2 linked regions of the Caenorhabditis elegans genome follow. The protein of the gene in region 2 interacts with the protein of the main gene of each other region in a biochemical or structural test. Each region holds a gene or a part of one and is shown on either strand. Other genes may lie near its edges.

The links. Proteins that work in one complex are often made in the same cells at the same time.
Region 1: the proteins of trh-1 (region 2) and trhr-1 interact in a test that uses a peptide from one of them, tested with the Caenorhabditis elegans proteins (one large-scale study listed by BioGRID).

What each region holds. Positions count from the first base shown.
Region 1 is NC_003279.8:6,985,739-6,993,942, forward strand, and holds trhr-1 (Thyrotropin-releasing hormone receptor), read left to right. Parts: upstream 1-3,328; 5' UTR 3,329-3,359; coding exon 3,360-3,548; intron 3,549-3,597; coding exon 3,598-3,724; intron 3,725-3,962; coding exon 3,963-4,074; intron 4,075-4,615; coding exon 4,616-4,775; intron 4,776-4,872; coding exon 4,873-5,002; intron 5,003-5,057; coding exon 5,058-5,173; intron 5,174-5,297; coding exon 5,298-5,550; intron 5,551-6,002; coding exon 6,003-6,103; 3' UTR 6,104-6,370; downstream 6,371-8,204. Other genes in the region: C30F12.5 (AbLIM_anchor domain-containing protein), read right to left, coding at 6,574-6,710, 7,078-7,331, 7,725-7,795.
Region 2 is NC_003282.8:17,366,063-17,373,307, forward strand, and holds trh-1 (THR-like peptide hormone), read left to right. Parts: upstream 1-2,545; 5' UTR 2,546-2,605; coding exon 2,606-2,639; intron 2,640-3,279; coding exon 3,280-3,369; intron 3,370-3,816; coding exon 3,817-3,894; intron 3,895-4,292; coding exon 4,293-4,381; 3' UTR 4,382-4,556; downstream 4,557-7,245. Other genes in the region: zipt-17 (Zrt (ZRT), Irt- (IRT-) like Protein Transporter), read right to left, coding at 1-29, 148-220, 268-395; C30H6.5 (Apple domain-containing protein), read left to right, coding at 5,707-5,903.

The sequences.
Region 1 (8,204 bases), on a different chromosome or scaffold from region 2:
ATATGAAGAAAGTAGGGGCAATTTGGAAAAACGTTCATTCTATTTTCTTACTCTTATTTTAGGTATTCTTAATTACTTTGTGTATTATTTATACTACACAACTTTTTCCATTCATTTTTTTTTCTCAGAAATTGTGTTTTTTTTTGTTATTTGAATCGCACAGAAATGCTAGATTTTATGGAATATTTCTAAAATATTTTTGTTAAATATTGTTCTACAATTATCTACAAAAAGAAATTAAGAAAAATTAAAGAATAATAATGTCGCAGTCAAAAATGGAGCTTTTCACTTTTTTTCATTAAAACCATGCCTCGTGTTAAGCCATCCCTTTTGCACCCTTCGAACCTCCTTTTCTTTCCTTTTTCTCCGTTTTTCAGTCTCATTGGATTATTTTGTTAGTCTCTCTTGCTCTGCGAGCACTGCACTTTTTGAATGAGTCGGCTTTCAGACAAAACGATTTTTTTTGAAAATTTCTAGTTTTTCTTGAGATTCCTTTTCAAATTTAATTTTATCCAGTTTCACTTTTTTCAGAAATATAAAAATTGGAATATCAGAAAATCATCAGCTGCTACTTGTTCACTTTTTGTATTATTTGCTTATCTTTATTCTTATTTACTACTTGTTTGTGTAGATCAAAAACAAATTCGAGCAAAAATGAATCATCATGGAATACTTGACAAACAACTCGGTTTTTTTTAAAGGAAAACATTTCCGTTTAGGTTCATAATATTTCAAAAAGTTTAAAAATATCTTCTGAGCTGATTTTTAATAAGTTCAGAGCCAATTTTGAATTTTACGTTTGTCCAGGATAGTTGCTAAAGTTGCTCAAAAAAGTATGCCCACTTTTTTTCGGATTTTTCGGATTTGTTGTATATCAGCTTCTGCACAAAAATGAAAATCGTTGTGCTCATTGTGTCTTATCCACCTCTTGAAATGTCCAACTTATCCAATTTCACCATAACCTTCACTCTATCCTTTCACTATCAAATCTCTTTTTTGTCTTCCAATTTGTCAGTTCCTCTCGTTTCTTTCAATTGATACGGGTTAAAGGATGGGCTTTTGTTTGAACTGTATCAGCTCTCCGTATCCTTATGTTCTTCGACATTATTGACAATTGTATCAGAGATTCGTAAGATTGACTATTTGTGCTTTTCCTCCGCATTGTCTACTACATATAACTCTGAGCAAAAATGAGCAAAAAAGGTGATAGAACCAGTATAAAAAACTATCAGGGATGTAGAAAAAGAGATGGGAATTGTTCAAAATTGTATGTTTTCCGCTAAAACTATGGGCATCAAAAACTACATCTACATCGTTCTATGGTGATAAAACCTTTTAAAATTAGTAAAATTCTACTCTATAGAGTATATATTTAAATTTACATTAAGTTTTTAAAATGAGTCAAATGACTTTTTGAGTTAGACATTCTAAGATCTCGATCACTTTTTACTCAATCACCATGACTTCCCTTTTCTACTTTTTTTTTCATTTCGTGACGCCTTCATTTCAAGAACTCATCCGTTTGCAACCATTATCATTATTTTTATTCTTTTGAATTTTCGTTGAAAATAAGTAAACTTTCATAATCTGAACATGAGTCAGAAGATATCTCTCAAAATCTGGGTTTAATTGCAAAATGATGCTATCAGTTCTTGAGATTAAAAAAATAACGGTGAGGACGAAATTTTGACAAAAATAACAATTTTCATTGAAAATGTTCTTGTTCTATAGAAACGTTAAAAACCATATTGGAAATTTTTAAATTAGGTTTAACAATTTAATAAGTATAATTCAATTTTTTAGCTGACAGAATACATCTAGAAATGTTCATTCTCACAACACTGAAAAAACGAAAAATTATTATTTTTTCTTAAATTTTTATTTTATTTTTTTCCAAGTAGGCGCCGTAATCCTGACCTCGAGTGCCTTACGCCTCAACTTCAAGGCTTGAAATGTTTTTCGAATAAAACCTACGTTATTTGGAAGAAAATTTTTAACTGAAGTATTGAATGTTTAATTGTTTAAAATAGTTTTTAATTAAAATAGCATTGCAATATTTCTTCTCATCATCAAGAAACTTGCGTGATCTCCGTTTTTGAGTTGATCAAACAATGAAAACATTAAATAATATGCTTTGAAGCTATTTCCCTCGTGAATGCCACACCTAGACAATTTTAAGAGTATCGATGCATGTTTCCTCGAAATTTTTCATGATGAAAACAGTTCAAACAACAAATGTATTTTTTATCTCAGTCGATTTTTGAAATATTTCTTCTTTCCCTAAATCTGAAAAGGTACAATGCCCAATGTTGTATTCCTGCTTCATGTTCTGGTGCACAAAGAGCATCTTAGTACCGCCCACATTGTTCAAATAGATACCCACACACAGACAGCCGAATACCTCATCTTTTCGTGGCCTTTTGGAAAATTGCGTTCCAATCTCGTGACATGGACTTGATTAATAAATATAAAATCAGCTTCTTCCTAAATTGTTAAAATATAAAATAAGCTTCCGTTTTTCTTCTTGTTCTCTATTCTTCTTACCCTCTCATAATTCTTTTTTCTTCCGTTTGCTCTATATAAATTAAAATCCAATTAATTTAATACCAAAGGGAGTTCCAAAGTATAACACAAGCCTCCGCCCACCCGTGAGTGTTCAGGTGTTGTATAGTATAGATCACATTTTTAAAAGTTCTCTTTCGCATTTATTTTTTCGTTGGTTTTGATTTTAAAGATGACTTGAATTGTTATCTTATCTATTTTCGGTCTCTAACCACGGCCATACAACCAAAATAATGACGACAATTAATTGTAAGCTGATTATTTATGGAATCAACTAGAAGTATTCATTGATTTTACTGTTTCAGCGTTTTTGTTTTCAACTTAATCACGTCTATATATAACTTTTTGAAATTATTTAAATTTTATTTTCTTAACTTTTGAATTTAGTTCATTTATTTTAATGCCATTATTTAGAACTTGTAAGCTCCTAGACAAATAAATCATATATTTTAAACTATAGTTGTTATAAACTCATGGTATTATAGTTTTGTTTTTCAGTATGGAACATGCGACGTAGTATAAAATTCAAAAAAAAATTTAATTTCAAATTCAAGCTCATTTTTCCTTTCTATATTAAAAAATTTTTAAAAAACAATTTCCTAATTTTCTACAATTCTAAAGTGGTTCATTACTTTTTTTTAAATATCACCTGCTTTTAATACACATTTTTTGGAACAATTTTTCTTTGTAAATAACTTTTTACTTTACGTTTTTGAAAACATTCTCGATCTCCAAATCTTCCAATAAAAATCCAATTAAATTTCAGCCATTTACTACGTCACCGAACACCTTCTAAGATGACGTCAGCCTCATTGGCAGGCATATCAATATCGCCAATTGTGCCGGAAGAACTCGACGGCACAATAGCACCAATTGGAACACAACCAATGGACATCACATTAGCATTTGTGTTTTCTGCGATTTCAGTCATTGGAGTACTTGGAAACCTTTTAGTAATTACAGTTGTACTTAAAGTTAGAGGAATGGTAATAGTTGGAGTACAAATTGATCAAAATATTAATTAAAAAATTACAGAAAACACCAACTAATTGCTATTTAGTATCATTGGCCGCCAGTGACACATTATTCTTTTTTGCTTCAATGCCTCATGAAATGATGTATTTATTGGGTCCAAATGATCATTATTTATTTGGAAGTTTAGGTAATTACTTTTGGTTTTTTTGTAGAAAATTTTTGAAATTGGCTGTGAGCATTACGTACTTGAGATATTTCTTAATGATATGAGTCAGACTTGTGCTCGCTTCTTTCATTTTTGATTTCCTTTTGATTTATTTGCTGGTCAGGCTCTTATCAGAGAAGAGATTGATTACAGTAGTGAGTGGGCTTGTTTCCAAAAATAGAGATGTTTTCCATTTTGGATTCACTAAAATTATTTTCAGGTTGTGTACTTCTAACCTATCTTCCATATCTTGCAATGAACACTTCAAGTCTGTCTATTTTAGCGTTCACAATTGAACGGTATTATGGTATTTGTAATCCATATAAAGCCAGGTGAGAAAGTTTTGTTTTTTATTTTTTACTATACAGTCAGTTTCACTCAATTAATTTCCACATTATCAGTAACCGAGTGTGCACTAGAGCACATTTATAAAATCTTCTCTAAAGTTAGCTAAACTTGTTTAAGAAATTGCTAAAGTTGGTTGAGATGTTTCTGTGAGAAAATTCCCGGCTATTTTTGGTAAATTCCTGGCAACATCTAACCAATAATTAGCCCACGTTTTATTGAAAGTCAGAGTGATCCATCATAGTTTAAGGCAAAAAAGGTCTTGAAGCTTCACCAAATGTTGTAAATCCAACCTCGACTGTCTCACCTAAATTTAACACAAGTTCCAACTAGGTGTTGCACATTTATTAAACGCACAAAAATATAGTGCATCGTCATCCAAAAGTTTTGCGAGCATTTCATTCAAGTTTATATTTTGGGGCTAATCTTACGGATAAGTAACCGATTACTTACGAGATTTAACCTTTCCAATAATTTGCATCACTTCTTTTTCCTACAACCCAAAATCAATAAAAAACAATATTCCAGAACCATGTGCACTGTTAAACGCGCAACGTGTATTATCTGTGGTATCTGGATCTTCTCAATGCTGTATCATTCCTATTGGCTTTTCTTGGCTACGTTAATCAAAGATGATATTGGAACATCTTGTAGTTTTCGGTTGGAAAGAAATAGTCATGCTTACAAGGTAAACGATATTATATTTCAGTTTTTTTGTTTTCCACTTTTAACTTTATCCATGTCAATTTATAAATAGAATAACTTTATAATTTTTACTTTTTCAGATAGTTTTCCTTCTTGATTTCGTCCTGTGGTACGTGCTTCCAATTATGTGCGACATCATTATCTACGCAAAAATCGGTATCACTTTGAGTCAATGTGGAGATAAGATTAAGAAATCGGTGAAGCCGAAAAGTAACATAACTACTAATAATTCTCATCACAAAACAATGAGGTTTAGAAATTTCAGTACCAAATGAAGTGATCGTCGAAAAATCAAAGACATCGTCGACTTCAATGGGACATTATTCCGGAAGAGATTCTCATATTTCGGGGAAACGGAACTCGGCAAAAGGAAGAAATCAGGTGGGATCAAGTTTATAATCCTCCCTTTTTATTTATTTACTTTCCCAAATGTTCTTGGATTTGTGGTGTGAGGGTTCACAATTTTTTTTGGAAAAAAACTGAACAAATAAAATAACATTTTCAGGTTGTAAAAATGCTTGCAATCGTTGTGGCCGTCTTCGCAGTGTGTTGGCTTCCTTATCGTGGAATGGTTGTCTATAATTCATTTGTATCGGATCCAAAGTATTCATGGAGTCCTGATTGGTATATCAATTTGTCAAAGACACTTGTATTCATCAACTGTGCTATTAATCCAATACTATACAACTTGATGTCTGCTAGATTCCGTGCTGCATTCAGATCGTTGTTATCGAAAAGAAAGAATTCCGGATTTAAATGTGAGTTTTTAGTTTGACCAGCTAAATGGGTATTTTTTTAAAGAAAATTATTGGTAATTAAAATCAATAATTTCGATTCAGTGTGATCCCACTTAAATTTTATACATTGTTTTTAAAAGAAATGTGTCCACAGTTTAAATAATTGATCACTTTTTAGAACATTTCAAGAAAAACGTATTTCATGTTCCAAAAATGGTAATTTTCAACCAGCTCGTGCCTTTGCACCGACGAAACTTATCAGCTACCATACTCACAAGTATTGTGCATTTTCCGCTTACTCTTCTCAGTTTACTTGAGCTTTTTATCAGAAAGTTAAAGAAAATGTGTGGTATAAACTGATAAAAGTCTACTTTCGGTTACAGTAATTTTGCTCGTAGACTCAAAGCTGTGATTCGAAAAATTTATCTTTTTGATCAAAAACTTTGATTATGACAAACCTGATACATTTTCAGCAACAGCTTTGAACCAACGTCACCGATTAAACACAATGGATATAATGTCATCAGCTGAACCAAAATCTCCATTAATAACATCAATGGCTGGAACTCCGTGATACATTTCTCTTATTCCTTCAAATTATCTCCTTCTCATCATAGTGTTGCCTTTAATTTTTATTTATGGGTTCAAATTTCGCCAATTTTTAAATAATTATGTACAGTATGTTTTTTTCTCCCTGAACTTCTCATCATTTTACAACCGGGTAAAAGCACATTTTAAGAAAACCGCCTTCTCTGAAAAGTCACACATGTTTTATTTTATTTTTGTCTGTTTTATCATATTTGATAAAAGAATATTATTTTTTATTATATAAAAATCAATTATTTTTATTTGTTTTTTTTAATTTACAATTGGAAAAAAGGTGAAATGTTCTACAAAAACCAGTATATAGAAAATGGAAAGAAAACATTCGAAAATTGTGAGAAATTTTGGAATCTCCCATTATTTCTCACACAGAATATAAAGTTGGATGGCTGAAAGATCTAAAAAAATATATGTAAAATTTTGAGAAATTAAAATATTTTGTTAATAGATAAGTTCTTCACGTGTCTGCGTCTCTTGTTTCCTTCGTGGATCCAAGAAGTGTGGGTCATTTCCAGATGAATATGATGGAGATAATGGAGGTGGAGGTGCTCCATTCGGAGCAAGACGAGCACGTGGAACTGTAAATAATAGTATAATGGAAAATAAAATTTCAGAAAACTAAAAATGAAATATTTTTTATTAAACAGAAAATGTGTCAAATGGGTTTTGATTTAAAATTATTCAGTTTTTCCTTACTTTTAAGGTTTTTACTGAAAGTTTCCAGAAAGCTTCCCTCTTAAGGAACAATGCTACTAGAAGAAGAAGAAGCTAGAAGTGAAAAATGCATTCATTGTTTTGTTACATTTTTTTTCAACGTGAAAAGAAACTCAAAACATTATTGCGGAATTCTCAAGGGTTTCCACTTTTTTTACAAAATAAGTTGTATATTTTGCTGATGGATATTATTTTTTGATATTTCCAAAACATGTTTAAAAATAAACTAACTAGTTCCATAAGTCGGGTCAATTGGTGGAAGTGGTGAATATAGAGGATGTCCTATTCTCGGTTCATCAATTGGTAGTTGTCCCATTGAACCATTTTCATAATCTTTCTGTCCTTTTCTATTTGTGTCAACTCGATATCTGTATGTTGAGTTTGGAGTATGTGGTACGGTTGTTCCTGGTGGTGGTGGGTATGGTAGAGGACTTCCAGAGTATGGGGTTGAGTAGATTGCATCGTGGTGACGTGGATTCAACGTGCTGGAATAGAATTATTATCGGGCTGGTAAGTTTGTAGGTTAACCAAGACCAAAGTTTTAGTCAGTAAATCGTCAAAAACCTTACACAAATCCGCCTTTCACTACTTGGAGATCTGCTTTATACAAGTGGAGCAAGCTAGGAAACATGGATGTAAAAGAAAATTATTTGAACAAGAGGAAAACAAGTATTGACTTCAAAAACCGAAAAAAATTTAAAAAAATAAAAGAAATCCAAAATTGTTTTTTGGTTTTAACGTTAGGAAATTAATGACATCATGGACTTGTGTTGTTGAAAAAGGAATTCAATTCCGGACGACCAGGGAAACAGTCATTTTTAGGTTACACCGTAAATTCGCATCCCTAATACCGAGCAAATTTTTAATTTGAAACTTACGAAGGTGGAGTGATAACGTAGAGAGGCTCAATAGACTTGTAAGTTGCTGGTTTCGTAACTTCGTACTTTTCCTGAAAACAATTGATATTTGTCATTCAAATTTCTCTTTGATCATTGGCGTCTTTCATTTTTTCCCGTTAAAATTGATCGTTTGAAAAGTGACAGGATATCAAAAAAGAACAAGAAGGTCTTTTTTAATGTGACGCCCCAAATCCCTCTTTTATTTCATGTCTAATAAATACCCAATCCACAGAGACACCTTCCTACACATACATTTGACCCACAACCAATAAGAAACAGTTTGATTGGCTTGGGAAAATTGTAATTAAGTGGAAGAGAAGATTTGACGGAGAAAAGGTGTTAATGGAAGGTTTTATGATATACAGAGTTTTAGGATTACATAATATTAATATAGCAGGAACAATGTTAAAAGTATTCATTTTAGCTTTTAGAGTTCCTATGTTTTAGGTTTTGACAATA
Region 2 (7,245 bases):
TTGTGCCCATGATCATGGACGCCGACAACCTAAAATCAAAACTTTTTCACTTAATTTATATTTTGGAAACTTTAATCCTTTAAATGCAAGAAAACTTTAGCGTGCGAAAAAGTCAGGGCATTATTTTTGAATCATTAGTAATTTCACCTGCGGAATTATATGTAGAATTGCATCCGAACTCAGTGTAGACACGGCCATTGCCAAAAAAAAATGTAGCCATCTTAAAATTTGGCAATAAATACAGTTTCAACTCCAACCCAAGCTCACCGATGTTTTGCATCTTTTGTCATTAGTGGGCCAATGCATGCACCACCCAAGGATAATAATGAGACAACCGTGACTGAGATAACACCATAGAGTACTGTATCGAACATAACAGGACCTTCGGACATCATTTTATGTAGAGTATTATTTTGAAACTGTAATTTAATAAAAACTTAGGAAAGAGCGATGGAAAACAGGTATTTTAAAAACCAGAATAAAGTTCTCGATCTGTACTTTTTACGTTAAAGAAATTGAAATTTCAGTGTAAAAATGTGTTCAACTTGCCAATATAAGAAACGGAAGTCAAATAAAAGTGGACAGTCCACTAAAAGCAGCAGATAGTGAAAGAAAAATATGGAAAGATTGAGAGTGTGGGTAAATGGAAGAGAGTTTAGAGGTACAAATAAGATATCAAATATCAGTGGATTGGGGTGGGAGGAATAGGAAATGGGCAACGGGCGCCCGCACTTTATCCGGTTTTCAAGAGGAACTTGGCAAGAATTATGCGAAAACGACGGTATGGCTCTGTTCCGGATAGTTCTAGATTCGAAACGAAATTATTTTTAAAAAAACGGTACACTTACCATTCAACTAATTATGTAAAGTTTGCTTTGTAGACTAGGTCATTACAGAAAGTTGAACTTTGGTTCGTCCAACTATCCGTTAAAAAAAAGTAGTATGTCGTAAAATTGTTGCACTTTTGCAAGAAAGGTGCACTGCTAGAAAAACTATGTTTATTTTTGTAAAAGTGGTATTAATGCGTTTACGGGAAATGTTTTTGTTGGTGAAAAAACGTTGAGTAAACACATAGAAACGCTCTGTTAGCAGAGGAAGGGCAAGTGTTCTTATGCTTTAAAAAAAGGCGTCCCGAAAACACCTAATTAGAAATGTTGTAAACAGATTATCCGTTCTGTATTTTGTTTTTGTTAATTAATTCAGCAAGTTCTAAATCAAAAAAGCGGTATAATATTAAATGGTCTCGTTTAAAGACATTCTTTTTCAATCAAAGTGTTACTCACCTTCTGTTAGCTAGGAACTGTACAAAAATCAAGAAAAGAAGCGTCGAACCGAGAAATGAAATATAGAAATGATATAATAGAAAACAAAAAATAGGAATTAGTCACGTGTGTTTAATTCAACAAGTTCTATTTGCCGATTGCTAGAATTTTTACACTATTTATCTATTAAAATCAGTTGAATACAACGTGACTTGCTTATGGATTATCTCGGAATTTTTTTCGAGGCTCCTGTCAATTGTCAATGTTCAAGATCATTCATTGCCGCTAGATGTTGTAAACGCAAATTGCTATTTACATTTATACTATTAAAATCAGGCATTCCACTCGCGCGATGCGTGACGGGAGAGAGCTTTGTCGACAAAAAAACCTTTGAAATTTGACTTTAAAAATCCCAGGTCATGACGATCGTTCAAGTTTTTATTATATTTTGTATTGTATTTTTAATAAATACTTTAGACAATTCCTTTCTCTCAGTTTTCTTAAACTGTCTGATAAAAAAAATCAATAATGTTTTAACATAGGAAATTTGAATGAATATTCTGCTGACCTAAAATGGCCATGTCGTGGAATATAATTCATTTCCACTTTCAGAAACTTGTCAATTTTTCAAAAATGCTGAGTGTTAACGGATTTTCCCGTTTTTTCCCTTGCAATGAATGAATGTTTGAGCTCAAATACTACATTTAAAAACAATTTCCCCCCTTTTATCTATATTTATTTATTGGTAGAATTTGTCAACTAGAGTACAAAAAAAAGACGACCTCTTCTTAAAAATAACTTATGACTACTCTGTAACATTTTTCAATGCAGTAGTTTTCATGGCTTCCGTGAATGAATATTCATTTTCAGATATTCGATATTTCACAGCTGACCATTTCTATTGTCTATTTTTGGAATTTTGACAGTTGTTGCAATTGTTTACAGCAAATATGAGAACGCTTCATTTTTTTTCAGTTCTCTAAAATTTTAAAACTTCCGTTACAAACCATATATGACGTTCCATATGACGTTATCTCAGCAGCAGTCTCATCCATCTTTCCAAAAACCAACCTCATCATTTCTCAAAGTAACCGATACTTTTCACATCGCCCAACAATCCTCAAACGCCTCCACTTCCCCTAATTATTTCGTCACCATTTTGATGAGAGCTCTCAAAAACGGGCGGTCTGTTTGGAAATGTGATAGGTAGGCGTGGCTTCTCGCGCGCCCTGTGATATATCTTTTAGGGTCCGCAACGATGAGATTCATTCTCACTTTCAAGCGCACGCCTTCTATTGGTGGTTGTGTGCTTACCAAATTATTTTCTGCCCACTACAGCGAAAATGATGAACTACTCAGTTGTTCTGCTACTTTTTGGTGAGTAACTAAAATGTTCTTTTGGTATTATAGAGATCTATTCATATATTCAATTGTTTAAATTTCCTCGAACTCAATACCATAAATTAAATTTTTGAAAAAATGGATTACAGTCCAATTTGTTGTTTAAATTTTGCTTCGTTTGAGTTCATTGACATTTTCCCAGACTTCACATTGATTCTAAGTTGAAACCTTGCATTTAAGTCAGACTTAGATAAGGAACTGGATTGAATTACCATCGCTTGATCTTTTGCTTTTTGAAAGATTACTAGTAAATACCAGATGACCGCATATCCGGTTTTAAACTTTTGTTTTGCTTCGCACTCTATTTATACTTCGATACTGAATATTTTGATGACGTTAAATGTTAAGAAGCATAATTGGGTTAGATTTGTTTTCATTGGATTCATTGGATTCTAAAAATAAAGAACATGTATTCCCGTAACTTCTTAATATGATCAGATTGAAAAATAGGTATATGTATCAATGTTTGCCACGTGTAAATTATCTTGGCTGATATATGTTTAAAAGAAAAAAACACGAGGGGACTGCGAGAGAACCTCAAAATGAAAAATTGATAAACTTGAAATATATGAATCATTCCCATATCTTCATTATTTCCCCAACATACAATTTTCAGCCCTATGCTCAATTGTTGCCGCCTCACCCATGTGGTTCGACGAAGAGGAGCCGATGAATTTAAGAGCGTTCCGTGTAATGCCTAATCAATGTGAGATTTCTCAAAATAAAAATTTTTGGCGAATTTATGATGATTTGGAAAACTAAAAACTGGCGAATTTATGATGATTTGGTAAACTAAAAAATATTTTGTAGCTCGGGTAGACTTGAGGTTAAAGATCTTGAGCTTGTTTAGGTATAACAACCTGAATTTATTATGCAGTTTGAAAAATCAATTTTAAAATTTGTCCTAAAAGAGAAAGACAAATATACATATTTTCATATTCACTTGAAGTATTTTACCAAATGTTGTTGAATTTGTTTAGACACTCAAAAACATGCATACTTCCTCATTCAGCTCAAATGTTCCAAAAACATCGAAAAACACCATCAAAAATAAATTATTTATTTTGCTTGAATCATTGCGAATCTTTTTTTTTGACATTCTTGAACAATTCACTTTTTGGTATTTTTACTTTCAACAATAATTAACTTTTAGTGGACTCAATCGATGCATCCAGGAGACTTCTGAAACGTGCAAGTATGTTTAACAAGAGAAGAGGACGAGAACTTTTCGGTAAGAAATAGTGTACTTTCATTTATAAAACTAAAAAAATACTGCATGTTACATAAATATGTGAAACTGATTGTTGCAGCTTTCACATCTTGTTAAATACAAAAATTTTAATCACTGCCATCCATTCACTTTTCTTTCTAAAAAATTTCCGAATCAATTTATAATATGACTTGGAGTTCATAAAATCTCCCTTTCCAAGAAAGGCGCGAAAATGTTCTCCTAGTTGGAAATTCGAGCTAGATCAGATTTCACTGGCAGTTTTCAATAGAATAGGCTGGAAAAGGTCGCGGAGATCATGATTACACTTTTACACAATTTACGGAATAGATACACTTTTGAGAGAAATACTTTCTGTCTGAATATGGAATTATAGGAAGATCAATATTAATTTTTTTCAGGAAAACGATCTCTCCCAATTGAGTATCCAGATGAAACTGTGATGTACGAGAGCAGATTCCGACGACGTGCCAATGAACTTTTCGGTTAAAATTATTTCTTGAAATTTGCTCTCTCCCTTTTTGTGTGTGTGTATTTATTTTTAATATCATTTTTTCTATATATTTTTAACATTGCGATGCGGCGAAACGAACCAAATATTTCAATTAATTATTTTATACTTTTTGGTAATAACTTCTCGACTTGAAATAAATGGGCTTGTGAATAATTTTCTTAATCACGAATTAAAAGTAAAAAAATGTTTTGACTTGATTAATAGTAAAACCGACTGCTACAATGGTTGTTTTAGCAAGCTGGCCTATATTTCAAAGCAGTTCATGAACTTTTTTTCATAATCCTTCGAGACCTCACATTGAAATTTTATATTATTATAAAACCATCTAAATTTTTAAAATTTTTTTTAGAAATAGGTTCTAGATCCCAGATTTTCTTTAGCAACTCTTTTATTTTAATTTAAACTATGTAATTAAGCCTCCGTTACGTCTGAATGTATTTATTTCACTGAAAAAGTGAAAACCATGGTGTGGCTACGTAGTCCACTGATCGTATCTATCCAAATGTGTGTATCTATCTTTAAATGAGTGTTCTGCAACCGAAAGAAAAAAGAAGGGCGCGATGGGGATATAGATCATTAAGCTGTAATATATTTTGTATGTCTGTATGCTTGTTTACACCGGACTTTTGAAGCAACGGATGTTTTGTAATGCCCGCCAGATTTGAATTTTGTTGAAAACAATTACATTTGGATAGCTGACAAAATAGCTTTTGTTAAACGGCTTAAAAGCTTTCTGGTTTTGATAAGCATATGGTTTTGAAGCGAGTCAATAAGCAAGAGGTTATTTAAACGGCTGCAAAGTTTACCCCAGTGTGGCATCCAGGCATGCAAGTGTATCATAAACTGAAAAAAGTTACAATTTACTTCACGTACAGTAAAAATCACCATGAATTCTATGAAAACGTCAAAAATTCAACGGCTCAAACTGACCCACCTCGATTCTACGCTCATCTCAACTTGAGATGCTCAAGTAAAAAGTTGAACACAATACTGTTTCTAGATCAAAAAACGAGGGAGTAAAGGCACTTGCCTCGATTTATGGAATATCTGAAAATAACTCATTCGCACAACCTTCCACTCTTTTAGTTTTTCAATAGATTTACAAAAAAGCAGAACAAAATTCGCTTTCAATTAAAAAAAGGTTGAAAACGAAAGTGAAAAGGGAAGTGGAGAAACTGAACATTACGCAATGAATATTTCATGAAGCATGGGTAGCCCAAAATACCGTATTAATCCCAGAGAATCAGAGAATCCGACACAGAACTAGCCCTCCGGTCATCAGATGGAAGGGGCGGGAGAAGATGAGAGGACAGCAGTCAAAAAACGAGAGGACAAGAAAGACGAAAAAGCTGTTGGCAGCTGAAGGGATGAGAAGTAGGAGAAGTAAGAAGCTGGTGGAGGAGAAGAAGAACAAGATGCAGCTTCTGGTAATGTTGATGCCACCGCTGCAAAATCAAAGACTGCTTACTTTTATTGTACTACTTTTCCACGTTTTTGGGTAGGTTTCACGTTGTTTTTTTTTTACATAGGAAGATGTCGATTAAATTATTTGCTCGTTTGCTCGTACTACTCCGCATGTTTTTATTTTACATAACTTAATTTTAAAATGGCGGGGATACAACAAGTACCCTTTCATATTGCAAACTTGTAAATTTAATTCCGTTTTCGTCTTTTTTTTCTTAGAGTTCTTAAAAAAAATGTTAATCTACTTAATAAAAACCGCTATTATATGTAGTAACTTTTTAGGACTAATAAAAATCTTACATTAAAAATTGAAAAAAAAAACTTTAATTGAAATTTATAAAATTTAAAAAAAATTTTTAAAGGGTTAACTCTCCAAAATTAATCTTATAGCGGATTTGTTTTAAACAGAATGTTCTCCATAAAAAATATGAAACTTTTTCTCTAGCTTTTAGTACGAATTATGTTCTTTGACAACTAAAAACTTCCTCTCTACAGAAGAAATCAACACAAATATGAATTCAGGTCTTTAGCCTATTTATTTTTTATTTGTATATTTACTTCATGCATGCTTTCATTAAGCTAAATGATGCTGTATGGGCGTCTTCATGGTTGTTAATGTTAATCACTATCTGGATAAGATAAAAAATTATGTCGTAGAAGCCAGAGTGGGTTTGATCGAGAAATTTAAGATAATGTGGGTAAGAACAATATCTCAATTTATATTAGTTGTGAGACACAAAGTTGCATATTTTTCGGAAAATAGCTAAAGTAAAATAAAAATTCAGATTGAAGTTACGTAAGTCAAGCTCTGCATCATGAACCTGGAATAAGTAACATGGACCGTATTCAGGGATTGTTGTGCAGATGAGATCCGCAAAACTTTAACAAACTTTAGTTTTTAAACTATTTTTGTATCTTCCTGACTTTTTTATTGAATTTTTGAAACTTAAAGTAGTTTGATAGTTACATGCTTTTCTAAAAACCTTGCTAATCCCCTACCAATTTGGAATTTGTCTCCTCATCTTGTTCTGTCAACATCTTGGTCGGCTAAACTAAATACATACCGTTTTCCACTTTTCTCATATATTCCACCCTCCCAACTTATCCTAAATTAAAGATCAAAAACTGGCAATGTGTGTCTGTCGTGATCTGGAGAAAGATATGGATTTAGCTGTTCCATTTTGAATGGAAAGTGTAAAAAATAGCGCGCGAAGTGGGGGTGGGATGCCAATTAATTTTACTTTTGTTTACAACGGAAATACAACTTTCCGTTTTAGTTTACACAATAAAAAATGAATATAAGGAATATTGAATTAAAAAGCAGACGTCTGTAAAACTAAAAAAGTTCTGGGTTTGTGTCGTATTATTTCCGAAAC